Linked DNA regions of Drosophila melanogaster. The protein of the gene in region 4 interacts with the protein of the main gene of each other region in a pairwise test. Each region holds a gene or a part of one and is shown on either strand. Other genes may lie near its edges. The genes, in order: Sec23, C901, CG2604 and stc.

Evidence for each region.
Region 1: the proteins of stc (region 4) and Sec23 interact in a two-hybrid assay, tested with the Drosophila melanogaster proteins (one large-scale study listed by BioGRID).
Region 2: the proteins of stc (region 4) and C901 interact in a two-hybrid assay, tested with the Drosophila melanogaster proteins (one large-scale study listed by BioGRID).
Region 3: the proteins of stc (region 4) and CG2604 interact in a two-hybrid assay, tested with the Drosophila melanogaster proteins (one large-scale study listed by BioGRID).

The regions. Positions count from the first base shown.
Region 1 is NT_033777.3:5,646,034-5,654,439, forward strand, and holds Sec23 (secretory 23), read left to right. Parts: upstream 1-3,031; 5' UTR 3,032-3,204; exon of another isoform or gene 3,205-3,325; 5' UTR 3,326-3,348; coding exon 3,349-3,627; intron 3,628-3,686; coding exon 3,687-4,936; intron 4,937-4,998; coding exon 4,999-5,152; intron 5,153-5,220; coding exon 5,221-5,769; intron 5,770-5,947; coding exon 5,948-5,971; intron 5,972-6,347; coding exon 6,348-6,437; 3' UTR 6,438-6,596; downstream 6,597-8,406. Other genes in the region: MTA1-like (metastasis associated 1-like), read right to left, coding at 1,021-1,182, 2,464-2,491; elm (ethanol sensitive with low memory), read right to left, coding at 7,219-7,721.
Region 2 is NC_004354.4:10,963,522-10,971,861, forward strand, and holds C901 (C901), read right to left. Parts: upstream 3,614-8,340; 5' UTR 3,547-3,613; intron 3,034-3,546; 5' UTR 3,032-3,033; coding exon 2,894-3,031; intron 2,828-2,893; coding exon 2,689-2,827; intron 2,629-2,688; coding exon 2,470-2,628; intron 2,262-2,469; coding exon 2,070-2,261; intron 1,999-2,069; coding exon 1,938-1,998; intron 1,735-1,937; coding exon 1,604-1,734; intron 1,546-1,603; coding exon 686-1,545; 3' UTR 511-685; downstream 1-510. Other genes in the region: vex (vexed), read right to left, coding at 5,223-5,776, 5,871-5,947.
Region 3 is NT_033777.3:5,219,546-5,226,081, forward strand, and holds CG2604 (uncharacterized protein), read right to left. Parts: upstream 3,821-6,536; 5' UTR 3,705-3,820; exon of another isoform or gene 3,602-3,704; 5' UTR 3,587-3,601; coding exon 2,294-3,586; 3' UTR 2,087-2,293; downstream 1-2,086. Other genes in the region: CG1116 (uncharacterized protein), read left to right, coding at 162-310, 371-588, 654-925, 991-1,140, 1,204-1,746; CG14664 (uncharacterized protein), read left to right, coding at 4,610-4,864.
Region 4 is NT_033779.5:15,110,624-15,120,045, reverse strand, and holds stc (shuttle craft), read right to left. Parts: upstream 6,567-9,422; 5' UTR 6,157-6,566; coding exon 5,812-6,156; intron 5,747-5,811; coding exon 4,293-5,746; intron 4,047-4,292; coding exon 2,979-4,046; intron 2,907-2,978; coding exon 2,555-2,906; intron 2,493-2,554; coding exon 2,391-2,492; 3' UTR 1,977-2,390; downstream 1-1,976. Other genes in the region: CG15269 (uncharacterized protein), read right to left, coding at 7,132-7,953. UniProt on the Drosophila melanogaster protein: Plays an essential role during the late stages of embryonic neurogenesis.

The DNA.
Region 1 (8,406 bases), on a different chromosome or scaffold from region 4:
TGCAAAGCGCGCCTTCCTGCGTGTGCCACATCGCCATAGCTTCACTCCACTCCACTGCTCCATTCCAATCCCCTCCAGATCCCAACTTCTGACTTGAACATTTTCGTGCACACAGAGCAGCAGTGTCAGTGGGTTTGGGGTTGGGTTGGGCATGGGTATGTGTGGCAGCTTTTCAGAGGTAGACAGACTACTACTGTAGTCTACCTACAGCCGAACCAAGTATCACATTCACATTGACGTCGGCGCCGCCTAGCAGCAACCGAAAACAGCAACAACCGCATTACGGGTAGTATAGTGCAGCCCAGCTCATTACAGTCGAGCATCATTAGAGCAAACCGGTGGCACCTTAACGTATGTACATATGTATGCCTAAGGTTGAACTTAATAATTTACAGGCTATTTCCGCACCACGATGCGTGTTTATGTTCATTACCAGTTCCCAAAACACCTAGTTTCTATGACCAATATCTTTTTAGACTATTTGCTAAATGCTTTTTCTAATTTGCGACACGAATAATTCAAATTGCGCTACTGGAACGTAGATCAATGGTGCTTCTGGTTCGAAGTAGAGTGGTTACACTGCCAGTTGATGTGGCAGGTTGTTTGAAGGTTCCACTGCCTGTTTATGTGGATGAGTCGGATGCTGGACGAAATCCGTTTTCGCTCCGCCCTCACAGTTGTTGTCATTGCGGTTCTTGTTGCTCAGGAAGTTTGACTAGGATTGCGGGATGGGGTGGCACTGTGGGAGGTTGGGTGGTTCGGTGGGTGGCTTCGCTTTCCACATGCCTTGACACAGCGCACACAGTGGTGCCCCTTACGGGTTCATTTTGTTGTTGTTTTGTGGTGGGCATGTGCTTAGCAGATCTGGTCGTCAGGTTTTAACTCTTAACTTGTTTGAAGGCCACGACAACGACTCTTGGCAACATAACCTCACTTTGTTGACAATAAATATACACACTTAGAGGTAACGTAACGCAAGATATGGATGCGGTTTCGAGGGAACAGGGTTTCTCTACTCACGTTGGTGTTTGTCGGCCAATTGCACGAGCGGATTGGGCAGATCCCGGCGGCGGTAGAAGCACATGACCTTCGCTTCCACATTGCCGGTTTGGTTTTTGTTCAGCTCCTCGATGCGTCGTATTAAGTAGGGACTGTTCGGCGTTGTCTCAACGTAAACATAGTCTGAAAAAAAAACAGTTTTTGAGGTGGCTGATGCAAAAGGGTCAGAAAAGGGCATGGAAGGGTGGGGGGCTGCAACTCCATTAATACGTCACAGGTAAGCGCACACATACACCTATACACGCATCCACCTAAGTGCGACCACCACTACCAGCTAAAGCGCAATTAAATACATATGGGTCTATCCATCCATATAACTTTATACCTACAACAACTGCAGCGGAACCTGTCGTTGACTATTATAAAAAATAAAAGAAATTCCGTTTATCTGTATGTACATACATACATAGATACAAACGTCGTGTGCACTTCTGCTACATTTTGGGATGCAGATACACAGATAGATGGGTAGATAGATGAAGAGAGATGAAAAAGAAAGTGTGGAGGCAGCGAGAAAGCATTGCCGAAGGTGTGTAACTGTGTGCGTGGCCATTAAAAACGGCTAACAAAAAACGCCGATGGAGACAAAAAGTTCTCGGCGATAAAGAGCAGATAATTCGACAAGTATATATGCCATTAATATTTATTTTGATTCCGTTAATTGAAAGCTTGCGTATCCGACCGAGCTTATTTGCATTTCGAAAGAGCACACACACCCACACACTTGCGAAAATCAGGTGAAGACAACACAATAACGTCACCGCTCGAGCGCGAGCGAGATGGCTAACAGAAAGTGCGTCAGGCAGGGTGAGGAGTGGGAGGCGTGAGATGGGGGGAGATGCTCAAAAGCTCATTAGCATATGAAAACACAAAAAGGCGGGTGGGCGGTGAGCCCAAAAGTGAGATACACTTTCGCACATAGTCAAACAAACACACACGCTGGAGAGATCACAATTCGGCAAAACCAAATCCAAATGCAAATGCAATTCAGTTCCCCAGCCCTAGAATACACACACACGCATACACTTAGGGCATAAGTTAATGCTTATCGGTTGGAACACGTCGAAAACACTTGCTGCAGCTGCGACACAAGAGCAGCAGGGGGCTCCTTCAAAGAAGTTAAAAAAAATAGAAAAGGTCTCTCCTTTTCGACGGATTGTTCTTGAGATTGATAATACACGCACACACACACACATACACGTGCGTCGGGTCTCCCACTAAAGGGTTTTCGGCAATTAAAATGCACTTTCGTTATTGTTGGAAAGCCTCCTCAGACACAACACACACGCATACGCACACATTGGACACACACACACATATGCAGAAGCGAACACGCACACCGTGAAACGGCGGCGCCGATAACGAAAGATGATAGAAAAGCGAGTACGCGAAAATTTTTCTCACCTCCGACTCGATACATATTTGTGGCCATTTTCACTACGCTACCGCACCAAAACTTTCACATGCAAAACACTCGGCACACGCTTAGCACTGTTTTTCAATGGTCCTGTTCCAAACTAGCGCACATTTATTAGCAGAAAACTCGAGTTGTTATGATTGCATTTTTCACATAAGAAGACGCGTTTTTTTCGTCGCCATCTTAGAAACAACTCAACTCTAAAAAATACACGCACACACACACAATGCCGAGTAAACAGCTGCACCAGGGATGCACTCCACGGTGCGATAGTTTGGCCATCGATAGCAATCGATACATGGGGTGTTGGGTAAAAACTTAATGTTAAAATTTAGTTGGGGCGATAAGAAAAACGATAAGGGGCTTTTCTAGGAATACGATTTATATTTATTTATATTATATATACTTCTTGAATAACAATATATATCATTAAGAAAATTAACTGAAAAAATTATGGGCGAACCTTGTTTTATTTATCATTTTCAAAACATATTTATTTTCACCCTTTTTTTCTCATATTAAAACATTCATTCAATCGCATGGGGCGCATGCGATAGTATCGCTTGAAAACTGTCTTCCCTAACATGCAACGTTTGCACTTAAAATTCTGTAATAGTTCGTAGTCTAGGTTTCTACGTTTTGTACGTTTGTATAAATTGTTTCCAGAGTGAGTGCTTTGATTTGAAGAGCCTCTTAAAGACTCATCTCGCGAATTTGTTTACTTTCGCGTGAGTATTTTGGCCGTCGCCAGCACGAAAGGTGTCACGACTCGCTGTCAATCCGTGACGTGGCCTGACCGACCGATTTTTCCAATTGGCAGAGGTCTAACAGAGGTTTTTCCGATTTAAGTATTACATTTAAGTGTTCCGGCGATGACCACCTACGAGGAGTTCATCCAGCAGAACGAGGACCGCGACGGAGTGCGGCTGACGTGGAATGTGTGGCCCTCAAGTCGCATCGAAGCCAGTCGGCTGGTGGTGCCCCTAGCTTGTCTTTACCAGCCTTTGAAGGAGCGCCCCGACCTACCGCCTATTCAATATGAGCCGGTCTTGTGCACTCGCAGCAACTGCAGGGCCATCCTGAATCCACTGTGCCAGGTGGACTACCGTGCTAAGTTGTGGGTGTGCAACTTCTGTTTTCAGCGCAATCCGGTGAGCTCAATGGTGATCTTTAGACTCTCTGCGGCAGTTTATGACAGTCATTATTCCAGTTTCCCCCTCAATATGCTGCCATTTCCGAGCAGCACCAACCAGCGGAGCTGATTCCGGGATTCAGCACTATTGAGTATACTATTACACGGGCCCCCACCATGCCGCCCGTCTTCATTTTCCTGGTTGACACCTGCATGGACGAGGAGGAGCTGGACGCCCTCAAGGATTCGTTGCAAATGTCGCTAAGTCTGCTGCCAACCAACGCTCTCGTGGGTCTGATAACCTTCGGAAAAATGATACAGGTGCACGAGCTGGGCGCGGAAGGCTGCTCTAAGAGCTATGTGTTTCGTGGTACCAAGGACCTGACTGCCAAGCAGGTGCAGGATATGCTCGGAATTGGGCGTGGAGCGGCTCCGGGGCCGCAGCAACAGCAGCACCTGCCCGGCCAGCCGGCTGGAGCGGCGGCCCCTGTGCCGCCCGCCCATCGCTTCTTGCAACCGATCGGCCAGTGCGACGCGGCGCTGGGCGATCTGCTTAGCGAGTTGCAACGCGATCCTTGGCCGGTGCCGCAGGGCAAGCGTTACCTGCGCTCCACTGGTGCCGCCCTATCTATTGCGGTGGGCCTGTTGGAGTGCACTTATCCCAATACGGGCGGTCGCATTATGACCTTCGTGGGTGGCCCTTGCTCCCAGGGCCCCGGCCAGGTGGTCGACGACGAGCTGAAGCACCCGATTCGTTCGCATCACGACATCCACAAGGACAACGTGCGGTTTATGAAGAAGGCTATCAAACACTATGATGCTTTGGCATTGCGGGCAGCCACCAACGGGCATAGTGTCGACATATACTCGTGTGCCCTGGACCAAACCGGACTGCTGGAGATGAAGCAGCTATGCAACTCCACTGGCGGCCACATGGTCATGGGCGATTCGTTCAACTCATCGCTCTTCAAGCAGACATTCCAACGCGTCTTCGCACGTGATGGTCGCAACGACTTGAAGATGGCCTTCAATGCCACGCTGGAGGTGAAGTGCTCGCGCGAGTTGAAGATCTCCGGTGGCATCGGCTCGTGTGTGTCGCTGAATGTGAAGAGCCCGTCGGTGTCGGATGTGGAGATCGGCATGGGCAACACGGTGCAGTGGAAGCTGTGCACATTGAATCCCAGCTCCACCGTAGCCTACTTCTTTGAGGTGGTCAACCAGCATGCAGCCCCCATTCCGCAGGGCGGGCGTGGCTGCATACAGTTCATTACGCAGTACCAGCACCCAAGTGGACAGCGGCGAATCCGAGTTACCACACTGGCCAGAAAGTATGTGTTGGCATAAATCAGCCCAGAGTTTACTTACGTGGTTCAATCTGTTTGTTTTTCAGTTGGGCCGATGCCACCTCGAACGTGCACCACATCAGCGCTGGCTTCGATCAGGAGGCCGCCGCAGTTCTGATGGCCCGTATGGTCGTCTATCGTGCGGAGACTGACGAAGGACCCGACATTCTGCGCTGGGTCGATCGTCAGTTGATTCGTCTGGTAAGTTTTCAATGTGCAAAATTACTCGTGCCCAATTAATTAGTATTGTAAATGCTTTCCTTTTACAGTGCCAAAAGTTCGGCGAGTACTCAAAGGACGATCCCAACAGCTTCAGGCTGTCGCAAAACTTCAGCCTATTCCCGCAATTCATGTACCACCTGCGCCGCTCGCAGTTCCTGCAGGTCTTCAACAACTCGCCCGACGAGACCACATTCTATCGACACATGCTAATGCGCGAGGACCTCACCCAATCGCTGATCATGATCCAGCCTATTCTCTACAGCTACTCGTTCAACGGCCCTCCAGAACCGGTCCTCCTCGATACGGCTTCCATCCAGGCGGATCGCATCCTCCTGATGGACACGTTCTTTCAGATTCTGATTTACCACGGCGAGACCATCGCCCAGTGGAGAGCCCTCAAATACCAGGACATGCCAGAGTACGAGAACTTCAAGCAGCTGCTGCAAGCACCGGTGGACGACGCGCAAGAGATTCTTCAGACGCGCTTCCCCATGCCTCGCTACATCGATACGGAGCACGGCGGATCCCAGGCCCGCTTCCTGCTGTCCAAGGTCAATCCCTCGCAGACGCACAACAACATGTACGCCTACGGGCAGGTGAGTCTCGCAGCCAGCGCCATCAACTGGCCACATTTGATTGATCTTTGCAGCGCTCCATTTGGCGTCATCGAAAATTTAATCTCAATCGAAATCTCAATCTCGTTTTATGTTGGTTTTGTTTCTCTCATTGTATAATCCGTACCCGTATCCGTAACCGCTCCTTTGTCAATCGCAGGCGCCCATCGGTCAAGTCACGGTAGTACATATTTGTTTAATTTTCAACTTTTAAACTGGTGGAAAGGTGGATATTTGAAATTTAAGGGGCGGGTAAAAAATCTTTGGAAATTGGATATGTCCTTTGCTCTTGATAGCTATAAGTCCAAAATAAGTGTTTTGGATTTTGCAATAAATCTAAGATGGCCAACCCCACACGGCTTAATCTAAGCAAAGATTTTGTCTGTTCCTATTTTTTCATATTGTTTTTAATAATTTCAAACATGATTTATATATAAGTGGCTTTTGGTGTTGGACCCTTCTAGGTGCTTGTATCCCTTTTTCATTCATCCTCCCCTCCCCACTTGGCACGATCCCACCCACCCATCGCATGACTAATTTTCCGGACATTATCTCGACAGGATGGCGGGGCTCCAGTGCTCACGGATGACGTTTCGCTGCAGCTGTTCATGGAGCACCTCAAGAAGCTGGCTGTGTCCACCACCACATAAATCGACTCTGGCTCTAGTTTCAGGCGCTTGCTTCCCTGGCGAAGTCGAAGAAGGCGAACGACACCTGGAATCAATGGTCCAGGCAATGAAATTACGAATATACAACCACTTATTCCAATTGATCGTCTTATAACGCAATAAACTATTCAAATTATGTTCAACAATAAGTGTGTTAATCCGCGATGCTTTTATTCGTAAGCAGCTGAATTAGAATTTACGTTGAGCGGAATGAGTTTGTAATTATAAAAACAAGGCATTAACAAAATGAAATGAGCATCTCTTTCATTCTTCATAACAACTATTAATACAAGTAAATCCGACGGGTTCCTGAAACCTACAAGATTTGTAAAAATTATTTTTTTGTAATATAAGACAGCAAAAGATTTATTTATATTTTTATCATAAATATTTGATCAAATTTCCGGACGCATTTAACTTTTAGATACCAAGCAATTGGTTATATTTTTCTGTATTTCTCTAGCACCCGTGATCAAACATATGCATTTTTTGTTTAACTTGAATGAAATATCTTCGATAAGCTTTGGGCAAATTACTCAGGTTTAAAAAACTTTGCGACACTTTCATTTTCATTCATTAAATTGAAACTTCTAAATGGTTGGAAAACACAACTGGTATAATAAGAATAGCAACCACTGCTTTCAAATCATTAGAGTTTTCAGTAACCCGCCGGAATGCCTCTCGACTAACTGCATCCTAAACTATTTGGTACACACTGACTAAGAAGGTCGCTCTTTCCTCGTGATTGCCGCATCCAGCTAGCCTAGTTGAGAAACCGTATGGACATCTTCTGATCCACGTCGGTGCGGTCCAGAGCTTTGCAGAAGTCCTCGAACGAGATCTTGCCCTGGCAGCACAGGTCCGCCTCCAGGATCGTCCTCTCCGCAATGCTGACCAACTGGTCCTGGCTAATGTTCGCCCCGACCATCATGTGCAGGATGGAGAGCAGCTCGTCTCTGCTGATCACACCATCGTCATCCAGATCGTACATCTTGAAGGCGAACTTCAGCTTCTCCTCCCGGCTGTTGAGCTTACTTTGCTTGTTATCCCTCAGCGGCCGGAAGTGGGCCAGGACGTTCATGAACTGCCGGAAGTTCACCCGATCGTCGTTGCTCTCAGCGAAAAAGGAATGAACTATCCGCTCGCACAGCGGATTAATGGCCAGTTCCGGGATACGCATCAGATCCTCCCGGGACAAGGTTCCGCAATCATTGCGATCCAAGGAGGTGAAGCGCGAGTAAAGTCGCTCGATTTGGTTGGGGGTGACTGGAAAATAAAATTGATAAAAATTAACCAATCGATAATTAGTTTTGAATTAAATACAATTAAGATAGTACTAAAACATGTACATTCAACTGTAAATACCTATATGATATTAACTTTAATAAGCGATTTAACAGTCCGTCAAGTTAAATCATTTAATAAAGTTGTTTTTGTTGAACGACACTGTTCAGATAAATTACTTTTGCCATGGAAAACTCGAACGATACCTATTTACGAACAGTGTGGGCATGAGTCTAAGCCCGTTCGGAATTAGTTGCTATAAAATCTGGCTGATAAGAGCGAACGCCTTATCATCTTAGCTGATACTAGCTGGTCGAACATTGGATACAAGTTCCAATGCGGTGGCAATTTCAATTGTGCGCTTATCGCGCCCGGAATATTGAAATTACACGCTCTCGGACACTAGATAATTGCCAGCCCCAATATCGGTGATAGGCGTCGACTTTTGCCCCCACCCACCCCCGTCTCATATATACGTATATAACTATCGATGACGTCATGTGGGAAGTGCAGGTGCATTTGAAATGCAAATTGCTTTTGCTGCAAACCATCTGTCCATATACCGCTTATATAAGGCGGGCACAGATCGCTCAGACTCAGTTCTGCATAATTTGAACGGAGTTTTTTAGAACACGTACATATAGTTCGTAGATTTGGAATTTTTATA
Region 2 (8,340 bases), on a different chromosome or scaffold from region 4:
AATTATTATTATTATTATTCGTATCGATATTGTATTGAGTCATTCTCTCTCTCTCCCATACTTCTACATATTTTTTTGTCGATTCGTAAGTCTCCCATACCAGTTACTACATATATTTATTAACGCCCATATGCAAGAGTCCATATGTATGTTTAGATGTCTATGATGTGCTGGTTTCCATATTCCAATTTTCGATACCCAATCCAATCGTACTACCCCCAACTCGGTGGCGCTAAGATGGCCATATAGATCCCCATTCAAACCCGAGCTCGTAGTCCCCCATTTGTCTTAAGTTTAAGCGAACCAAGTGCAATCCGAGTGCAGGAATTGAACTCCCACAGGCTCTGAGTCCAATCCTCTGGTCCCCTATTCATATTTCGATTCAACGATTTCTTGTAGCACTTAAGATTAGCAAACTTTAATAATATCATTTTTTTTTTTTGACATTTGTTAAATCGAAAATTGCTTAGCTTAATCCCTAAAATTATCATAAATAAATACAATTTATATATGTATATCTATCGCAATGGATGGAGTTTTTTAATTGGATGTTTCATTCATTAGTTAATAATAAATATTCAGAAAAAAAAAAAAATTGCTTTGAGATGCTGCATATGTGGGCCCTTAACTGAACAATGTGTATATATATATAAGAGGGATTACTTGTCATTTGTCAGGTTCTTAACTATATAATATTTGGTATGAGTTGATCGCTGTCATCCTCCTCGTCGTCCTCGTCCTCATCCTCCTCCTCATCGTACTCGCCATCCTCATCCTCCTCATCATCGTCGTCATCTTCGTCCTCCTCCTCGTCTGCCACATTTGGCTTATCCTTGTGGCTGGTCACGGATGTTGCGGCTGTTGTAGCCGTTGGTGCTGTTGTTGCTGTTACTGTTACTGTTCCAGCTGGCGCCAAATTTGCTATTGTTTGCTCCTGGCTAGCGACGATGGGCAGCGGGGGGCGTGGCTGAGGTCCTGTCGCTACCGACACGCTTGTTGCATTACCCTTTACGGTTTTTTCGCCAGATGTGAGGGGAATCGGGGTGGCACGCCTCGTTGTAACGGCGCTTAACGCTTCATTAGTCGCATTGTCGCTGCCAGTTTCAGTTGCCACCACCAATGTCGTCCTTGTGGCGTTGCTGTTGCCGGGTAGTGAATTCATGGGTCCTGCTCCAGCTCCAGTTCCTGCGGTTGCCACGTTGGCTACCGTGTCATTTTTCCGCCGCTCCGGCTCGTTACCCGCTGGCAACTTTTCTCCAACCAGCCCGCCTCCTGGCTCGCTGTCATCGGGCACACCTGCACCGATGTCCTGCTGCCCGTTCTGGTCCAGTTCGCCATCTAGTTCCAGTACGAGCTCAGCGGGTGTGGGCGGTGTGATTCGCGGTGGCGCCTCTGAGGTCAGCAGAAAGTCATCGCGTATCTCGCAGTTCTTGCCCAGAAATCCCTGCCGGCACTGGCACTGGTAGCTCCCATCCTCGCGACTCAGCGATGTGCACTTGCCCCCGTTTTCGCACGTATCCGGATGCTCCACGCAGTAGGTGAGCTCTGTGGGTCAACTCGGTCAATTTCCCGTTGGCATGGTCACATATACGGATATACTCACTCTCGTCGCACAGCATTCCGCCCCAGCCGGGATGGCAGTTGCACTCCCATGGCGCCTCGCAATCCCCATTGGCACATCCCGGATACGGGAAGCACTTGTCGCACTGGCTACCCGTCCAGCCCACCTTGCAGCTGGAGAAGAAGGGGATGTCCGTGAAAATTGATGACAGATATGGGTTCGTTTTGCTGTTAGTTTGCTGTTAGCTAACTGAGCCATAATGCTTGGGAATGTTAAATTAAGGATAAAAATAGTTGACTTATCCGAAAAGGGGCACTCCAGCTTGCCGAAACCACATTTTCTGCATTTTCTTTATTGAAATGCTGCTCCTACTTACCGGCACTCGCCAGGTTTGCGGCAATATCCGTGCTGCTTGCTGCAATCTGGGTCACAGATTGCTGGAATGGCGGAATGGAGTTTGGGATTAGTAGGGTGAATGGCGGATTCCTTTGGTGGTTGCAGGACTTACGCGTCTGGCAAAGTAGTCCGGTATATCCGGGTAGGCAGAGGCATTCCAGTGGCTTGTTGCAGGTGCCGTGCTGACAGCCCGGCATCGTGGCGCATTCGGAGCAGGTGCGTCCAGCATAACCAATCCGGCAGCGGCACTCCCCAGGCGCTTCGCAATATCCACGGGTGCTGTGGCATCCGGTACGGCAACTTGCTTTGGTTGCGCGCGGATTGGAGGAAACAGGCAATTGAGTAATCGGATTGGACAGAGTTAGGAATGTTTGATTTGATTGGAAATGTCATATAACAAGTACAACCCCCAAAACGATATTAGTTCCCTATGTTTTAACTCCTTCTCTAAATGCTCCGTTCTTTAAATGTAAGATTGTAATCAGGCTTATCCTTTTCCGGTAACTACTTACGTTCCGTGCAGAAGAGTCCCGCCCAGCCAGGCTTACAGATGCACTCGAATGGCTTGGTGCATCCGCCATGTTGGCAACCTGGAAGCGGAATGCACTTGTCGCAGAGTTCGCCGCTGTATCCGATGCGACACCTGCATTCACCGGGTCGCTGGCAATAACCTGTGTGAATGTGAGTTCAGGGGTCACAAGATAGGGAATCATCTGAAGGAGTAAACATACCATTCATCGGGTCACAGCCCCTTCGACACATAGGCACCTGGCAAAGATCACCCTGCCACCCAGGAAGGCACTTGAAGTCACCTTTTTCATCGCAAACATAGTGTGCATTTTGCCGCTGTTTCTGTGATTTCTCACAGGCCTTAGGTAATCGAATATTTTCGGAATTGGTTCGAGAAAATTATGAACGTTAGGTTCTCCAACTTACTCGCTGTTTCCAGAGTGGAATATTCGAATTACTACTTTGCCGCGCATCGAAGTTGCGTCTATAGGCATTCATTTCCTCCAATTTGAGGGCGGTAATCGCGGTCACCAGCAGGAGAGCCGCCTTTTTGTCTGACAACATATCTAAGTCCGATTTAATAATAATATAATAAGTGTTTGTTGTTTCTATTAATAAATATAATATTATTAATATTATACGTTTGACTACTCCGTTAAAATTCCCTGCAAATAATGGCTTTTATGTGTACATAAAAAGCAAGATCATCTAAGTCGGATCTAACGACCTCTTCACAAAAAAAGTTTCTTAGACTTTAAACCAACTTAATGTGCTGAACTTTATGACTGAATAAAGAAAACCTAAGTGTAGGCCTTGTCAAATGTCTAGATGTTTTCGATTATCGGCTTAAACGAAAAGTGTTTTCGTTTGGCCAAACTTAGACCGTTAAAAGAAATCGACGGCCCACGGCCCCTCGTCGCAATTAACATGTTTGAAGACAACTTTCTTCGCGGCCGAACCAAAAAGAACGGGAATCACACCGCCGACAGAGAACCCGACAACCAAACAACCGATTTCTTGATGAATCACCACTGGCGAGAAGAAATGAAACTTGAAGAATGCAAATGCAAAAGAATTACTTTTAACGGTTAAGACTGCAGCTTCTTGTCGTCGGTCCGTCTCGGTCTGCGATCGCTTTGGGACTAATCAAGTAGCCGCCTCGTCGGACCAGCTGCCTCTGGCCGATTCTCGACTCTTTCTTTAAGTCAAGTCAAGTCAAGTCTTCGCTCTTCTCTCTGTCATTCTTCTGGCCTTCACCGTGAACTCAAGCCTCGAAGCCGAGAGGCAAAGCCAGAGAAAGAGCGCTGAAAGGCACCTAACCGACCATTGGTGGTAATTGGGTCAACCGGTAAACCCAAAACAGCTGAGTACTCAAGCACAGTGGGTCCAGATATGGTTTTTATGGACCACTCTACACTTTGAAAAAGAAGAAAACTAGGAAAACTTGTACCACAAAATCAGGAAATAAATAAAATCTGAAACAATTTTAAATTAATAATGTAATTATACTATAAAGATCTATATGCCTACATATCCAATCTATTAAATGCTTTAATAGCATTAACTATTAAATGTTTCTTTTTATATGCCCAAAAACTATTTATTTTATTTTATTTTACAATTACTTTCGACCCACTGTGCAGCACTGACGATCGAGTCACCAAACAAGTTGTAGATAAACCAGGATGGCTCAAGACTCTAGATTGGTAAATGTTCAAAGACAACATTGGTTTACTTTAAAATTATACTCGTTCTTTATTGAATGATCTCATTATTGGTTTAATTATAATTATAATAATTATTTCGACATTCGTGTGTACCTAAAATCCAGATTAATACTAAGATCCAAACGTTAATTCCGACTCCAGAGGGTTGTCTGCCAGTTGGGTAACCAAAAATTGTGGGCCTTAATCATTTGCTTTTGACAAATGTATCATATATGTTATGTTATGTGTAGAACGTGTGTGTGCTATATGCTTGCGAGTCGGGGGGAACTAACGATTAGACAGATACACTCGTGCACATCCACATACATGTATATATAGGTTCTTTCACTACGCAGCTCGACTCCATTTTCACTGTAGATGTTATGCGGTATTTGATGACTTAGTCTCTAGTTTCTAGTATTATCCGATCCGAGATCCGAGCGTCTTCACAGACCCCCAGCATTTATATTGAGTTGTTGATTGGGTCCTGAGCCCAAATGCTTACACGCGAGTGTTTCCTTAACTAATTAGAGAAATGCTAACCGAAGGAAGTCCACAGCAGCCGTGATATCAATATGGTTATATGATGAATATCATGTGTGTGGAGGAGATCATAAGTCTTTGGAAGTTTTTTTTTAAATTTATAAAGTATCTAAGAGAGCAGAAGTTAGTAGTCCGAAATTGTAGAACCCCTCGAAAACTTCAGAAATATGTGATATTCCTCCATATATACCCTATATTTCACTGGCAGTGTATCCTTTATTTCCGGTTCTCTTCTCTAGCGAGACAAACAAAAAAAAAAATCCTGACCTCATCACACATACATATACATACATATGCTATGATCTTCTTAATCCACTGGCTTAATGTTTAAACGCTTACATACGATGGGGTACTTTATTGATTTTGGGCCGGAAGTGAGGGGGCGTGGCAGGGGCGCGGGTGATATGATATGATATGATGAGTGGGGGAGACCGTACACCATAACCTACACGGAGAAAAAAAAAAATGGACACCGCAACTTGAGTGGGCGGCATGACCACGTCGCCTTAGACGAAGATGAACTGGGCGTGGCCGCACTTCTTGGGCGGACCGACGGTCAGACGGAGCCATTTGCCGCGGCACGACGGCGCCGGCAGCGCGCTCCAACGTGTCGTGCGTCCGGCCAGCCCCTCCCCCCGGCAATGGTAGGTGGGCGGCAGCGTGGGCGAGGGCGTGGCCGGCACAGCGCTGCGCTTTCCCGCTGTCCGGCGGCTGTGCGACATTTGCGACATCTGCGACTGCCGCTGGTGACGGTAGTCGGTACTCTCGTTGCTGTCCGAGTCCAGGGCATTCTGCAGGTCATCCTGCTCATCCTGCTCCGGCTCCTCATCCTCCTCCTCCGCCTCGCCATCCTGATTGGTCGCCTCCTCTTCGCTGCTGGTCTCACGCTGCAGTCGCTCCTCCTCAAGGTCATCCGTACGCTGGCCAAAGGCAGAGGCTGCGGATGAAACTGTGGTCGTGGACGGCGTAGTGGGTCCTTGTGGTGTCCTGGCGGTGGTGGAGCTGCCGGCTGAGTCTTGGATCAATGCCTCAAGGTCACAGCGCACCGTGATGCGATCGCCTGGAAAATAAAACACAAGACAGTCAAAATATTATTTTACACATTTGATTGCATAAATATTAAATACTACTTTAGTTACTTTGATTTTTCTTACCTTCTGTCATCAGGTTATATGGCGGCAACTTGTTGCAGGCTTTAGATGATTTTATTACCTCGAATTCCACGCAGTATCTATAAAGAAAGTTTAAGAATAGCGCAAATTATTAATAATTATACAAAGAAGAGATGCGAATATCTTAATAATTTGCAAAACATTCAAATAGATTTAAAGATGAAATCGGTTTCACTGGCTAAATAATGCTTAATTAATTAATCCATCCTCATAATCTGCATCCTACGCCTTCGAAACGCTCGCTTATTTGGGTATTCACTCATTCAGTCGCTCATTGAGCGATTCATTCGTCCGTTTGGTCCTTCATTGATTATGCATGTCCTTCGGTGACGCCTCATTAGAGGAGCAAAGGATCTGGCTGGCCATTGAGATGTTAAATATTACAATTATTGTAATTCAGATTCAGATTCCATCAACGGACGCAAAGTAGACAGAAACAGCAGCAGGAGCACTGATTTGTGCAATTGTGCGGACTGAAGCGGGCTGCTGAATACAGGACTTCAAAGGAAGAGGAAATGCGAATTGTCTATTAAGCCTAACAATTTCCGTTTCCGTTAGGCAAAAAAGAGCAAAAACAAACATGGCAGGCGAAAAATCGAACTGACAAGTGCCTTTGAGTGTGTGGTGTGCGGGTGTGCGTGTGTAAGTGTGCAAGAGTGTCGAGAGTGTCTGTGTGTGCGTCTGACAGCTGTCAAGGTGTTGACAACGGAAATTGCGTAGGAAATTTCAAAAGTGCCCGACATTTTGGGGCATTTTTGATTTTACCTACCACTTTCCCACCCACCGGAAAGCCAGGCCACTTAACCCCAGGGCAAAAATAAAAAAGAGGGGAAACTCGTGGATATAGCCATATATAGCTAATATACGCTGGCTGCTGCTGCTGCTGCTGCTGCTGCTCCAATGATGAAGGCAGATTAGCCAGGATGCAGCGGAAATGGAAATTGACGTCGCACTCAGACCGCAGAAAACAAGACTCCCCCCCCCCAATGCCGAGTCATAAATAAAGAGAATTTGTATTAAAATGGGAGTCGCCATTGGAGATTGTGCGAGGCGCAGGGGAAACAGCTGAAAGCTTAATTAAGTCCCGGCATAAAGCGAACCGAAGGACCCTCTGCGCCCGGGTAATAAAGGTAAATTGAAAAAATTAATGTAAATAAACAGGCGCCGACGACGCGCCGAGTAATAAAAATAAACAAGGCAATGCACAAAACTCGAGGACCAAAACATAATTAAAGACAAGCAATTTTTGGGCCGGGGGTATTTGTCTGGCCAGGAAACGGAGGCAAAATCAGCAGCAGGACGAGGTCCTACAGCCACGGCAATCATAAAATAAAAAGCAATTGTTATGCTTGGCTTGCGGTGAGCGAAGGAATAGCCACTTATTATTAGCCAGTTCCAGGAAGGCGGTCTTGGCTAAAAATTCGCTCTAAAAGCCCACTGATTTATAAAAAAAAAAAAATGTGACGAGTTGTCAGCGATAAACGGATAATGAAGGGATAAAATGTAAAATGAACCACAAAGCTCAGAATTTTTAATTTATTAACTGATTAACCTTTTAAAGTGCACACAAATCAAAAAATGCAAAAGCACAGTAATTCAATTACAAATAATTGAAACATTATAATCATTTTAAAGTCACACATCAAAGAAAATATTTGATTGAGCGCGTTAATGGAGCTAAGTAAAAACGAATTAAGTTCATTCAGTCAGTCGGTCATTCTGTCCCATCAACAATTTACCACATTCAGTTGAATTTCATTCGAGGCCTTTTTATGAAACAATTCATAATTAGTTTTTAAATGTTAAGGTATGTTAATCTTTAGACTATTGCTCGACTAAACTAAACATCTTGCACTTGTGAAAATGTGAGTTGCGTTTAAAATATTTATAAAATTCTCGCAAATTTTTATGATTGCCAGTAACATTGATATTTAGCTTTGTTATTAGCAGCTCAAAACTGGTTTTATTTTAAAGTAAATAAGCCAAGTTATGAAGAAAACACCGTTTTTTAATATCCGATTTTTAGCCATAATATTATTTTATTTTTTGCTAAAAAATAATCAGTATTTTCTCAATAGCAATAAAAATAGTTGTCCAAAAGTGGAATGTCATACCTCGTTGAATTCGTTACAAAATTCCCTATCGACCTGTATTCAAAGTTGGAAATTCTAATTTTTTGCCATTTTTTGCAAATTTTGATGATGCCCCTTATCGAAAATGCGAAAATTTGTCAAAATTTTGATTTTTTGGAGTCATAAAAATAGTGATAGGGATAGTTAGCTATGCTTATTGGCAGTACAAAACAGTCTTTATTTTAGCGGTGATATATTGTTTGACCAAGTTATGGAGAAAACCCCGCATGTAAATATCCGTTTTTTGGGAAATTTTATTTTTTGCTAAAAAATAATCAGTATTTTCTCAATAGCAATAAAAATAATTGTCCAAATGTGGA
Region 3 (6,536 bases), on a different chromosome or scaffold from region 4:
AAAAAGAAAATTTAAATTCAGTAACACGACTTATCAGAGGTGGGACATTTAAAAAGTGGTTGGCGTACGCGCACGGCTGCTATCGCTATCGGCGGGCCTATCGAACAATTCCTGCAGACGGTCACTCTACGGGAGTCGCGACCAAATAAAAAAGTAAATAAATGATTGAAATTAAGGCGAAACTGCTGCGTGCGGACTCGGCCATCTACGCCACGGGCGAGAGAGTCCAGTGCCTGATCGAGTTCACCCACAAGGTGTTCTCCGACGAGCCAGCCGCGTCGCAGGCTGTCCACAATGCCAACGAAGCAAGGTGAGCCGAGCTGTTGTTAACTGTTTTTCTTCCCTTGATTCACCATGCAAAACCGACCAGAAGCCAGGAGAACCTGGCCTGGGCCTCGGCGCAGCTGCACTGCTACCGGAAAACTAGCTACTCTACATCCGCGGGCGACCGAGCCGCGGAGCTCACGGAGATGATCGGCAGGACGGCTTTGGATGCGGTGACGCAGGCGCCGGGAGAGGTGATTGTGGCCACCAAGCCCAAGATCCTCTTCTGCGACCTGCGCCTCCAGCCTGGAGAGACCAAGATGTGTGAGTGATGAGCTTGCCCTACTTCTTAGCTTTTTGGTTTTACTAACGAGCAAGTCGCCTTGCAGACTTTTTCAATGAATTCATTCCCCGCGATGGCCCACCCACGTACAGAGGCCACAACATCCGGTACTTCTACAAGATCACCATTGCTACGCAACGGGTCAAGTCCAAGGTGCAAACGCTGGCCGTTCCCATCCGGGTGTTGCCAATTCCCATAATTTCGCGGCCCGACGAACTTCCCGTAACCGTAGAGACCAACGAAGAGCTGGCGCCCACTAATCCGTTCCTGGAAAAGCGCGAGATCAGCGAGCTTGAGATATCGTGGCACCACCTTAAGGCAAGGAAATCTAGATCCCATAAGCAGCTGTACCTTGTCAATGTCCTCTGCTCTGTGTCTTTCAGAACGTAACCGCTCGGCGGGCGCCGAAGTTCTACCGCATCTCGAACAAACGCGGCTTCGTTGGCCGCTTTTGTTTGTTCAAGCCAGCGTATAAGCTCGGTGAGGACATTGTGGGCAGCCTGGACTTTGATCCCGGCGTTAACCCCCGAAAGGTTGGTGATTTTTTTTGTCATTACTCATAATGCGCTTTCTAAAATCCTACTGCATCTTACCAGGTGCGCTGCGTCCAGTTTTCGGTAAAGCTGCAGCAGCAGGAGCTTTCCATCCGACCGCAACCAGTGCAAAATCACCAGCTGCAGTCGCAATCCTCGACGGGCGATGATGTCTCCTCGATGAACTCCTTTGATATGGCCAGCATAGCTAGCGGAGTGTTGGCAGATAACCTCCACAAGTCGGCCACATCGGCTAGCTCAAAGGTTAAGGAGGCGCCTGAGCCAACCGGGAAACTTTCGACCATTTCCACCTCCCACCAAGTGTGCTACGCAACGCTGCAGACCCAGGTCGTGGTACCCATTCCGCTGCACGTAACACCCACATTCCGCACAGACCTCGTCGACGTGCGATGGCGATTGCATTTCGAGTTTGTGACCACAACTTTGATTGACTTTGGCATTCCGAATCCGGAGTCCGGCGAGCTAAAAGCACCGTCTGAAATGCCCGTGGAGACGATGGTATGGAATCTGCCCGTGACCGTCTACGCTGCGAATCCTCTCCAGATTTATGCTCCAAACCAGACATTCAACCTGCTTATAAAGTAATAGCACTTCAGTTAACTGTGTTCTCTTGATGGAAGTAAGTAGTAAGAAGTATTGTATTAATATATTGGAGAACTAATCCAAAGGGTTTCTCACTTTTAAGGCTATATAAGGCCGTTTAGAAAGAGCAAACGAAAGCAACAAGTCGATTACGGTTCCTTTTAAAAACTTCTGAAACCCAATCCCCTCTTACGTCTTTGTAAAATACAAAAATCTTAATTAAAATTTAGTCGAATATACGAATCAAACCGCTTGAAATCAGAAAGTCATGTTCATAGCGACTTGCACCTGGCGATGTTAGCCAAGATAATATTTACATTTTAAGGTAGGAAAATCTGTTTTTCGCATCTTAATTTATTCTGAGGTGCAAAATTCACTGAATTAGATCTAACCCGTTTCGCCTGGACTTTGAAATCGGCAACAACAGCAGCGGATGTGGGGGTTAGTTTAATAAGTGCTTATATAATTACAGTTCAAACCGCGAGTAACAAACAGCCAAGTAAGGTGATTAAAAGAGAGCCGCTGGGAGGGAGAAGTGCGATTCTGGACATTACTTGTTGGCCAGAATCTCAAACTTGATGCCGTGGTCGTGCTTCTCCAACTCGCTAATTAGTCCGGTCTTAGAGAAGGCGGCAGCTGGAGGCAGCACTCCGCCTGTGCTGGGCATCTTGTCCGACTCACGAAGAATGGTCAGTGCCGCTGAGAGCACAGCCACGCAGGTGGCTCCATATCCGGGATTCATGCCCGATACGCGGACCATCAGCGTCTTGGTCGGGGACTCCGTGTATTGGTTTGAACTCTCGGCCAGGCGATCGCTCTTAAGCCAGCCACTGGCCTTAAAAGTCATCTTGAAATAGGTGCGCTCCATTGACTCCTCACTTGGGCCGGAACGAGAGGCCAATCCGCCGGAGAAGAGACCGGGGTAATTGAGCAGCAGCGTACGTCCCAGCTTGAACTTTGACAGCAGACCGAAGATGGTGGCAAAAAAGATGACACCGCCGGCGACCAGCCAAGACGAAAATCCCACGTAGGCCTGCATCTGGACCGGACGTTTCTTGTCCTGGTCGTAGAGGAAGCGCTGGGACCTCATTACCACCGAGCGGTCGGAGCCGGGAAAAGGTAGACACACCTTGTCAACCTCGGTAGAGCGGAAGACCAGCGGTCGTGGCTTGAGAAAGGGATAGAATCTTGGCAGTCTCTGGGGATAGATCTGCTTCCGGATGCCGCGCAGCTCGTCAGAGTGAGCTAGCCCGTAAACGGCGCTCTCCCAGGTTCCGTAGTTGAGGCCGGCAGTGCCTCCGCCACTGCCGCCTTCTTTGATTCCGGTCTCCAGGAAGGTCTCCACGGAGTTCACCACGCCGTCGAAGTTTTTTTCCACAAAGACGACGCCCATGTCGGCGGGTATGGAGTCAAAGCCGCAGGCGCTGACCACGTACACGCCCTTTTCCCTGGCCAGCTGATCGTACCTCAGCTGCATGGTCTCCATGTACTGGGGCTCGCCGCTAACATCCACATGGTGCGTGCCCGATTCGATGCAGCACTTCACGACGTTTTCGCCGTGAAAGCGGTAGGGTCCTGCCGTGTTCACCACAATCCGGCACTTTTTCGCCATCTCAAGCAGGGAGGCCTGGTCGTTGACGTCCGCGATGAAGATGGGCACCTGCGAGAGGTCCTTCTTGGCCTTGGCGCCCATCTCCTTCAACACCGCCTCCAGCTTCTCGCGGTTCCTGCCAGCGATGCCCCATCGCAAGCCGCGCAGCACCGTGACCGCCTCGAAGACCGTGTACTTGCCGGTGAAGCCACTGGCCCCAAAGATAATCACATCCAGTCGATCGCCAGACATTTCGCCGTAAGTCGCCTTCAAAGATTCGATGTCAGATTGCGCGATATTGCGATATCACTGGAATCGCAGCTGCGACTTAGCACGCTGTATGGTATGGAGTAGATAAACGACCGCTCACCTGTATCGCTGTCTACTGATTCCGCCTACTGAGCTGCTAATCGGCGTTCTTATTCAGTTAATTCAAATACACATGCATCGTGTACGTATGTAGGTGGAAAATCCAACCGGCCAAAGTCGAAGCTCTTCTGAATGGAGTTAGGGGTATTCCTGCAAGCGTCTAATGGCCCGACTTCACTGATTCTAAGGATTGAAGGAGTGTTTTCACCGTCTGAAATTTGTTTGAGTCTGGCTGTGAATGGTCAATTCGATTTATTTGTGATCTTTTGTGACTATGACTCAAAAATGTCATTCAGTGGGAGAGCTATCAGTGAGCTTAATGAAATTAACAGATTAACTTTCTAAATTAGTCTAATCACTTGTGATAGAATGCTTATGTAAGCGTTCCCCTGCCATGCCATTGGATGCATTCAAAATACGAAATATCTATGTCGGAATCACTATACCTATTCTATTTAATTTACTCTGCAAGATGTAGGGAGGATGAAATACGATTCGTTTCTTGGTCAGAGGGTGGAAACTCTGCCTCATAACTTTATGAGCTGTTAAGATTCGAATTGAAGGAGATTTTCGCTTTGTCTTTTTCTTTATACTTGTCGTTCAAAACTTGTGCTATGTACATCAATTACAATTACAAAATGAACATTTTGATATCACATTTTGAAGTGTGAGCTTCGAACTGAAGACTGTGGCCATTAACATTCCGCACGCCAATTCCAGTTATTCAAAATAACGATACTGCCTAACCGGTTGAACGGACACGAGCAGAGCAGATGCGGTAAGCCAATTGCAGATCAATCACCCGATGCTTGGGGAAGGTAAGAGACTTCCGGAATTTCCTGGATAAGTATAAAGTGTGAAGCTAACAGTGGGACACCAGCATTCTCCAAGCTGCATCAACTCAAAATGAGGCTGCATCTTATACCACTGGTTGGACTCCTTGCACTGATTATGGCCCAATCCCAAGTACTCCTACCGGGACTTCGCGTGCGACAGGTTCCCGTGCTCGAAATGGGCCAGATTCCAGTGGTGCAGTACCTGGACGCGGCCTCCACAGTCACTCCAGAGCTGGTAAAGGATCAGTTCAGCAGGCGATTCACTACGCTGGCCAAACCCTTGGTCAGTGGTGCTGCTCCCCAAACCAGTCTCCCAAATTTGTAATTTATTGTTACCGCCTAAGAGTCCATTTGATAAGCGAATATATACATAAATATTAAAGTTACGTCTTTATGCCATTAACTCTAGTTGCTAAATAACCTTGTAACCTACTTTAAATTGTACTTAATCTATTAAGAAAGAACTTTAAAATCGGGTAAAATTACCAACACGCACAGTTGGTGGTATGCATACACATTTTAATATCGAATAGAAACAAAATATTCCCAACATCCTGACCTTTAAACAAGAGAATATCAGGATCCTCGAATATTAGAGCAACAAAATTGGTCACGATTAAGACCACAGAAGTTTGTGTTAACGTGGGATCTTAAATTGACTACAATAGCTCGAATTTAAAAATAAATTGTGCCTAATCTTATAGAGTATTGAAATCGCGTTAGTAATTATAAGGACTGCCCGTTTACGTGCTGGCTAATAATATAAATATTTCGAAAAAGTCATATATCCAGTACCAGTCCTTCTGGCAGAGCCACCTGTTCTTCCAGTCGAATTTGGACAACGTCTGACTGTGACGCAGTTCACCAACGAGACTTCTTCGAACGACTTGTTACTGCAAGACTGCTCCATGGTGCAAGACTTGCGATATTTTATGTCGAGTTTATTCATTCGGATTATATGGATCTCTCTGAAGTTCTCTGACTATCGCGTAAATGACAATTAGAACAACTAGAAACCATCGACAAAGGAAGAAACCAATATCCAAGCGATGAGCTTTAGAAATTGTGTAATTCCAACAGCTCAGATAAGTTGGCTAACTTGGCTGTTATGCAAGTTAAAGTATCTGATACTCGCCATCGGTCGCTTGCTACCATGGAATCATCTGCTAGATCAGACACGATGATCCTGCATCTCGTTTGATCCTGCAAGCGGGATACAACGAAACAGCACCCCAAGCTCGGTGGTGGAGAAAACGAAAGACACGATTCGAGAAACTACAACCCATCCACCGAAGTTGGGCAATCTAGCCCACAATCGAAGCGGATGGTTAAACTGCAGCATTATCTAGCTTACCCGAGGACAATAGCACACTGGGAGCCATAAGAAAGAACTCTCCAATGCCAGGAAAACTTCGAGCATTCATCCATTTTCACGAATTGGTGGTGGTGCAATACTGCAATATTGCTAGTTATTTAAACATTATTTATTATTATCTTAAAATACATACACGCTTACGTAATAAATTCAAAACACTAATGCCTTAGTCATTACTTTTGGGGAAATCGATTAAATGGGGACAACCGTTTGAAGTACAATAAGTAAACCTAATTGGTAAATTATATTTGTAGCTTTTCAATGGATTTAACGGATTAAAATTAAAATTAGTAAAATAAGTTAAAATGAGATTAGTAAAGAGTTTTTATAGTTATTTTTGCTCAAATATATTTCAGAAAATAAAAAAAATAATATTAAACATAATTTAAATCATCAGATGCAAGGTCTGTGCCACCCACTAGCTTTTATAGTTAGTTTTAGATCTCGACGTTCATGCGGACATATGGATCTTTAGCAAGTAATATGTACTCTATAGGGTCGGGGAAACGCTTACTTCTGCCTGAAACATATATTTCGACGAATCTTTTGTACTCCTTCACTCCACGAGTGACGGGTGTGGAAATTTCGAATAATTATAGCAAAATAACAAAATAACACTTTA
Region 4 (9,422 bases):
AGCGTCACTCGGCACCCATCTTTTGCACTAGTCCCTCTTCCGATTCTGTGGTCGTCTGCTTTTCGCTTGGGTCACGTCCTCGCAGGACGTAGGACATTCTTTTGGAGCGATGTGAGAGGTGGGGAGCTGGAGTATACTGGGCCACACGCAGGCATAATTTCAGCCACTGCACTCAGACTTAATGAATATTTTAAGGACAGCTTTCATATTACATACCACTGCATATGTTATATGTGTTATATAAGATAGATGTATGATAAGCTCGCCCAGGACAAATGTCACAAATGAACGTCAAATGCTTGTCAAGTTACTATTTTTGGGCAACAGAAAATGTCAAAGTTCCTACTGGAGTGCCTTAATTTGAGGTAACTGTTTTGGAAACCTGGCAGTTATGTAAATAAATTGATGTCTGTATATTGAAATATATCAATTTTTAACAGCATATTTCCGTGTAAACTACTAATCCAATGCATACTTAAGCCCAAACAAGTAGCTATAAATTTAAAATGATTTAAAAAACCTAATTGAATAGACTTTGCGCATTTGTGACATATTAAAGCGGTTTCATTAATTAATTGGTGCTATACAAGCACTCGAAATTGGCAGTAAATAATAGCACATAAGCCCATATTTTCACACACCATCAAAGTTAGCTTACGAATATCATTTAAATCCACACTTATCTAACCGCAAAAAGTAATTTCAAACAATTAAAATTCGGTGTTGGTTTTAAATTATATATGATAAATAAATACTTGCATTCATTTTGAAATTGTTGGAATGTTGAATGGCTCAAGTATCGTTCGATAATAGCATATGCCCGCACATTTGCCATTCCAGTTTTATTCAACAATATGTTTTTTTTTTTGGTTTTTTAATTTTTTCTCTTGCCATAACACATAATTAAAATTACGCACACACTTTATACACATAAAATCCAACCTACACTCCCACGCACATGCAGCGGTTACAATTGACCCAAAATGAACTCTTTCCCCTGCAATCTCGCCGGTTTTTGGAGCAATAATCCCCCTGCCCACAGATGCCAACCACAATTTAATCTCCCTGGAATTATTTTCCCCAGCCCATCTAAAGAGGCAGTTTCTCCTTGAAAGCGTTCTTTCTTTCTGTTTCGTTCATTCTCGGCCCTCCTTGACGTGGGGGATTGCCTTGTATTTGTTAATAAACTCCCTGGCAGACTAAATTCAAATTACGCACACATCTTGAGATGATTGGGGGTGGTGGCTGGTGGGTGGATGGCATTTGGTGGGTTGCTGGCAGCCATTTCGCTTATAGGCTGCTCATTATGTCAGGTCTATATTCATATACGACTTGCGTTCTGCCTCTGGATCCGGCCCAAGCCCCGCATCCATTGCGTTCCGGCGGAGTGCGTGAGTTGGCCTCATCCGGGGCTCTCATCCCTCGCCGCTCTGACTTGTCGTAACATTTCATCTTTATTTTGGCATTATTCCCCAGGCGCCGCTTATTGTTTTTCGTGAAAATGGCAACGGCAATGGCAACAAATTAGAGGCCTGTGCCCATAGCCCGAAACGAGATGGCAACGAGTTCGGCTTGTGGGCAGTCCGGGGGATGTTTGCTAGTTTCCTCGACTACCAGGATGGATCAGCAGGTGGAATATCCCTTGAGCACCTCCACTTGGGTTGTTTTCATTTCCGCGCCACTTTAATTATCTAATGGTGAAGCATGACGTCCTATATATTTATATTTTAAATTTGAAATTATTTCTGTTCTAAGCGAAGTAAATTCCAAAATTACTTCAGTTTGAAACAAGCGACCGTTAAATAACAACGACTTACAGCACTGAATACTGACCACTGTTGAAAGCTAATTGCTGCAACATACAAGACATTGTGTTCCATCGCGACATAAATTTGAAATTAAGTTTATAAGACCTTTTATCCATAATTTCTCCCATGAAATAAATTAATTAAAACAAAAAACACAATAATTGCCCTCTGCTCTATTTACTCATTTATTTATCCTTCTCATCTATCGCTTTCCTTTGTATTTAGATGCAACGTGGCCAGAAGGTTTCGCTTTTGGATAAATTCATCGTACAACAGATTGGTTAACATGATTCTTCACATTTGTGCCTGCTTATCCAGTTCACTCCATATTCAAGTATTCAACATTTAGCATTCTAGGGTTCAACTAACATTTGTTATAATTTACAAAATATACGTGGTAACGGCAATTATCCTTCTGTATTGTCCTCGCAGCGCATCCACAAAATTTTCCTCATTTAGGTTCAATCAATAAGTCTTCCACATCCAGGCTTCCATTTGCATTATCTATCCATTTTTAACTATTATTTTCCAGCGCCAACGATTTAATATATTTAATATCTCTGTATACCACACGGATTTGATCTACTTCTTCAATCCCCAAGCATTGTTACTGGGCACCGGGACACGGCGTTGTCCGGACTCACGAGCCAGCACTTCCATGATGCTCGTGGCGGGGAACCAGCACTGCAAATAGTTAAGCCAAATAAGTACGCGATTCAGTTGGTGTTTTACAAAGTTGAACTCACCCTATCCTTATGGGCCGTGGCAACAACATTGCGATTTGGCTCCTTGTCATAGGAAACCGATTCAATCCCAAATACCTCGCACAACTCGTGCACCAGCTGCCTCTTTTCGCGGTTCATGGTGGGGAAAGAGTGGCTCCTCGACCGTTGCTTGCTTTCCTTGGCCAACTTTACCAGGTCGGTCAACGTCTCGTAAACGCTCTTGGTCAGCGCTGGGTTCTTCTTTGCGAAGCCACGAACAAACTCCGAGTACTTGGTTAGACACTTTTGCTTTGTATCGGAATTTCCAGAAGACAGGGCCGCGGCAAGACGACGATTCCTCTCCAGTAGACGACATTCGTCGTTGCAATCCAAACTAAAGACAAAATGTTACGTATATTAATACTAGTGAAAACTTAAATTCGGCTGAATAGACACCACCACTCACGTTTTATTAGATTTCTTGGCTGGAGCCAAGATTTCGCTGAGCTCCATGTAGTTGCCGCGTGACATCTCTGCCATGGACGAGGCCAGCTGGATGGTGGCTATACGACTGTGCTCCCTGGCTAGTTCCTGGCAGCTGCGGTTCTGCTTTCGGTTGCCGCACTCGCACTGCACCTCCACCAGCTCCTTGCAAGGCGTTTCCGGACAGGCTCCCTCGTGACAGGCAGCTGCACACTTATGACCACAGGTCGGTCGTGGCTTGGTGCAGCTCTGCCGGCATATCTCGCCGGCAGACTGACAGGGGCCCTCGTGACACGGCTTTATACACTTGTGCCCGCCACACGGCAACGGCTTGCCACAGGCCATGCCACAGCTAAAGTTGGGCTGCGAGCAGGGAATGGTCTTGCGCAGCTCGTGGTTGCCGTGACACAATTTCGTCGTGAAAATCATGCAGGGCGGACAGGTGGGGCCCGAATGGCAGTTGTGCTGCGGCGGATGATCGCATGGATGAATGCGCGAGCAAGGAAGCTTGCAGATTGGCTTCTTGGTGCCACACGGCACTGGTGGATAGATCACTTCGGCACCACACTCGCAATAGAGCTCTTCGAAACTGCTGCGGTAGCATGGCGGACAATTGCCGCGGTGACACGGCTGATCGCACTTGTGTTTGCCACAACTGAGGGTTCGATTACATGGCAGTGGACAGTCGTGGTCTATATCGATGCAGCACTCAACGTTGCACTTGTGCTTTCCACAGCTGCGCTTCTTGGTGCAACGTCGCTTGCAGCGGGCGTCGTCCGCTCTGTTACATAGCTGCCGACACTTTATCATTTGGTCCATGTGGCCGCAACGACACTTTACACCGGTCTGCTTGGGACATGGAGGGCACTGGCCCAAGTGACATTTGCTTCCGCATTGATGCGGATGCGCTGGCTTTCCACAACGTAATGTCCTAGAGCAGATGCCCTCGCATGTGGGAATCGGGTCCAGGCAGCTTGAACGCTGGCCAGCCGGTACAGGCATTTTGCCACAAGGACAACTTGTTATCTGCTCGGGACTCAGCTTGCAGGGTCTGAAAAGAATCATATTATCAGTTTAATTGTATGAGTTTCTTAGTACTCTGCACAAAGACACGATTGCAAACGCTGAATAATTTAGCATAAAATTGGTTCATACCAAATTCAATTCTGATGTTTTGTGTTAATGTTAATGCACATATTTTAGAAACCTAACACAATTTTCGAGTTTGAGCCGTTTTTTGGGGTTATTGGTTTAAATGAAACCAATACTATAAATGAGTTGAATCAGTTATTCTTACCTACAACTTCCCGCGTGGCAGGAGTCCTTGCACTTGTGGTGGCCGCAGGGAAGCGGTTGACCGCAGCTGTCCTTGCACGAATAGGTGCGTTTGTCCTGCGATTCTCGCGTGCATGGCACCTTGCGCTCCTGCTTGCCGCAGTGGCACTGCTGCACCACTTGCTCGGAACACGCCGCGCACTTGCCCGAGTGGCACTCCGCCTGGCAGCGATGCTCGCCACAGTTAAGCAGCTTGTCGCAGATCTCGCCGCAGAGCACCTCTTCCTTCATGGCGCACTGCATCGTTTTTGTGCTGCGTCCACATCCACAGCTGCGCACCACGTTGGCCTGGCACGGCGGACAAGGGCCTGGGTGACAGAGCAGAGTGCAGGCATGGCTACAACCCTCAATTCGGCAGCAGACCTCGCCACAGCTGTGGGCCAATTCGGTCCGTGATACCGGCGGGTTTTTCAGTTTGCCGCAAAAGCAGAGATAGTCGCGTGGCAAATCCTGCAGCACATTCTGGCAAGCTGGACAACGCCAGCCCACCTCGGACTTGGAGCTACTCGCCCAGGTGATGGTGCACTTAAGGTGCAGCATGTGATAGCAGTTCCTGCACGACCAGGTTGGCTGGTGCGACTTGATCGCCTCCACGCATACAAGGCACTCCAATCGGCGCTGTTCGATGTCGCGAACCAGTTTCTCTCGCTGCGATAGTTTTTCGTTATCCGCCGGTGGTAGCGGTGGACCTCGCCTTGGGGAGATTTGCTGCAGTTGCGACTGCTTTTCGGGCGATGGGTGTGCGCTCTCATTGCTCGTGTCCAAATCGTCAACGGCCCTGGGAAAGCCGTTGATGCGGTCCCTGTTGCGATTCCAGTCATCCCTGCGTTTGTTGCTGCGATGATTGTCGTAGCGTTGCTGCTTCTGCGGCCTCCTACGATCGCTTCTTTCGTACCGGTCCTCCCGATCGTCCCGATAGTCGGAGCGGCGTTGTTGTCGCGTATTTCCGGGTCTAGAGTCCCTGTCCCTGTCCCGGTCTCTGTCCCGGTCTCTGTCCCTGTCTCTGTCCCGGTCTCTTTCCCTGTCCCGGTCCCGGTCACGTTCCCGCTCACGCTCCCGTTCGTAATTATGGTTCGAGCATTGGTTGTTAGCTCCTCGTTCAGCTGGTTCTTGGGCTCGCAGAGTCCTAGGTCTCGTCTCATTTATGGCAGTCTCTAGGCTGGCAGTGCTGTTTCCGTTCGTAGTGGCGGCTGCCGGTGTCTCTTCTAGACTCAGCTTGGCGAAATTGGGCACGAATTCCGGAGCCGAGGCCTGCAGCTTGGAAGCGCTGAAGTCAAACGGATTATTGCCAAAAGGTGTGTAAAAACTCGAAAAATTGCTGTTGCTCGGATTGACCGACCCATAGCTGCTGGTGACGGTGACTCTAGCGATGCCATCGCCATTTTGATAGGTTGGGATCATGGCCTGCGAGTAAAACTGTTTTGTGATTTATTAGTTGATTCATTAGGACTAAACCTAAGTTCTAATATATCGAAACATACATTCGGAGATTGATGACTCACATTTGCAAAGTGGCTGGTACTCGCGGATGCCACTGGTGGGTTCAGTCCAAAGGCTCCTCCACCGCCGCCCAGGGAGAAGTTAGTGTAGCTGCTGCCCACCGGATGTTGCATAGTGCTGGTGGCATTCGAGGGCGCTCCTCCACCCAGATTGTGCTGCATAATGAACTGATTGAAGTTCACGTAATTGTTGTTGCTGTGCCTGTTGCAGGAACCACCCACTGCCGCCGATTCGTGACCTCCGTTGCAGTCTGCCATGGCGGATGACTCATTGCCGGGTCCCGCTTCTCCGGCGCCGTTGGTCAACTGCTGCCAGTACTCAGCCATTGAGAGTCCGGTGCTGTCGTTGGTGACCAGCGTCTGTTGCAGTTGCGCCTGCTTCTTTGCCGGAACAATCTCGAACTGCCCGCCGTCCTCTGCTGGGCATTTCCCAGCGCTACCACGGGATCGTCCGCAATCCGAGGAGGAGGTGACCGAACCCAGGAAAAGCTCCAGACACGTGTGCAATGGTGAAATTGAGCCCAATGCAGAAGTTAACCGAATCGAATTCTCAGTTCGATCGAATTTGGTAAAGGCTTTCTACGGCCAACTGGACGCACCGCAGCCTGGGTCCGCAGGCACGTTTTACTGATTTTTTTGCGCTTTTCCTGCGTTTTTTATGCTCGCTTATATTGTAAATTTCTAACAAAATTTCACAACACGGTCATACCAGACGAAACGGTACCACTGACAATTGCCTTGACTTATCGATATATTAACAGACTTTCGATTTTTGAGGGGAAAAGGGCTGCCAACTCGGTTTTAGGACAGCTGTGAATACAATTTAACAGCAAGATTTCGTTTAGTTACTCAACACACCTACAGTGGTAATAAACTATCAGGTGGCGCCATCTGGCTGAGTGAGAGCGCACTTTTAAATATGTTAAATGTACTGCAACGGTTCGTTCATTTGTTTACTAAAAAAACATACATCTTTTAATTTTTGTCACTAGAAGATTTGAATTAAATAAGGCTGCGTTATCTGATTATAAGCGAAATTACCTAGTTGGACTCCCAATCATATCTCCAATCCAAAATATTATTTCTAGAATCCTGGAATCCTTTTGTATTTGATATTATACTTTATTGACTGGCCAATATATATGCCTATTTTAATAATAATTAATGTCTATTCCTAATTTAATTTCTAGCAAAATTATTGCTTGAAAATAAATGTAAATTGAATAACAACAGTGGAAGTACTGCACTTTGTAATTGCCACAAATTTGGTTGAAACTGGCCGGGCACAACGATTCCACCCATTTAGAATGTCCTGAGATTGCTGAGAAGGGTTTGCTGACTCGGCGGTTGGGATGGACCAGATCCAGGTGTTAGAACTCCAGGAGGTGGCGGCATTTGAAATGTTTGAGCCATGGCCATGGCCAAAGTGGGCGGTGGACCTGTTTGTTGTTTTCCCGGTACTGGAAGTGCGGATGATGTGACCGTGAGTCCATCCAACGGACGGTACTGACACTTCTTAGCGTGGGTTCGCATATTGCTCGACTGGGTGAATGCCTGATTGCAGTTGGGATGTGGGCAGACATACGGCTTGCAGCCTGTATGGTAATTCAGATGCGTCTTTAGGTGATGCTTTTTGGTGAAGGCTTTGGGGCACAGGGGGCAGCTGAAGGGCTTGATTCCCGAGTGGAGGCGATGGTGCAGGGTCATGTTGCTGCGATCGGCAAAGGACTTGCCGCACACGGAGCACTGATACGGTTTCTCACCACTGTGCGTCCTCATGTGCTGTTTGAGCAGCATTTTACGCGAAAATCTCTTTCCGCACTCGTTGCATTTGTGGGGTTTCACGCCGGTATGAATCCGGACATGCATATTGAAGGCCACACGCTGATTGAACGATTTGGGACAGTAAGGACACTCGTACTCCTTCCGGTTCCGGTGAATCTTTAGGTGACTGCTCAAATATCCCTTATCGTTGAATGTCTTGCCACATTCGGGACACTCGGCGGCAAACTCCTTGGTTCCTCGGTGAACGGACAGGTGATATTTGTAATTTCGCAGCTGGGAGAAACCCTTTCCACAATCCGCACACTCGTAACGCGGCGATTTGTGCGTCTTTTCATGAGCCTGAAATAAGAACATAATAGACAAATAAGATAAATAAATAAGATACATTAGCTTAGCAATAGTAATATTGTAGCAATAGTAAGAGATTTAAAATTTTAATAAAAAACCTGAGGTAGTGAAAATCTGTTGTGAAATTCATAAAACAGCGATTTTCTACAAACTGTTCGTTAGTTAGTTAGTTTTTGGAAGGGAGGCTTTCAAGATGAGTATGTTTAGCAACATTTTAATTAGGTCCTAATATTAATACCTTATTCTATAAGTTCTAGTGAGGATTGGAAGATTTCGAATATAAAGTTACTGAAAACTGAGCTTTGGACACATTTATACTTATACAAAATAAGCCAGAAATGCAAAAAATACCATGGTTACACATTCGAATGTTCCCCATTGTTTGTAATAATTTTGTTGCAACTTCAAATGTGGCTTGCTTCAGTTAGCTACTGAAATTGGTGTTCTTTCCCAAAGTGGCCATTTTGTGATTACCTCTCGCTCGGCGTCTGGCCCTTTCTAACGTATCTTGTAGCTGCACCCATGCGTAAAACCAGTTCTCTCTTTTTTGCCCGCTTCTGTTTCTGTTTTCGGCCGACTCCATTTTGAACTCGGATTGCTTGCGAGATTTGCATAAGGCACTCAATTCTTCGCTGCCTCTCTCTTCCCCACTCCACTTGAATCTCCACTCTTTTCTTCGGAGCTCCGCCTTCCAATTAGACTACTGTTTCTCTGTTTTTTAGGCCCCGCCCAAATCCATATGGTATCTCTGTTGGTGAAGAAACCCGTTTTGGGAGGATCTCGTGTGGATGTGGACTTTGAGGACCGGCCAAACGATATCTTATGTGATGTATGGCCATGTGAAAGGTTAATGCTGTTCTTGGCTTAGATGTTTTGAAAGGAGTTAAATTCCTAAAGTTATTTAATGGCTTTGCAATAATAATTCTCAATCATTTAGTACTCCGCATAAACACATATTTCTTTGTGATAAATGTATACGTAACCGTTGATGAGATCTAAATCATTAATTTTTTTGTTACTTATAATTAAAAAAAAAAATACGCGTGCATTTGCCAAATGCTTGTGTGTAAGTACAAACTCTTTAAGTGACTTTACGTATAAGTTTGATTGTGCTATTTAATTTATAAGAAAATTTCATACAATCGTTCATTTCGTTTCGCTTTTTTTATAACTAAACAGCAGCAAACTGAAATAAAATATAATCTGGCAAATCTAAATCATTTCATTCTTAAATTCTAATTGGGAATTGCATATATTTTTTGAATATTTGTATTTCATTTTTTAAAAGTTGAAGGTCTAATGAAATAAAAAAAATTAAAATTCTGTCTACACTATAAATATAAAAATTTGTTTCGTGGGTGTTTTGTGTTTACTCGTTTTTGAGGGATTTTAAGAATAAATTGAATCCTTGGGTTAGAGTTTGGAATATATTTAGGATGAATTATCTTTTCTAAAGCTAA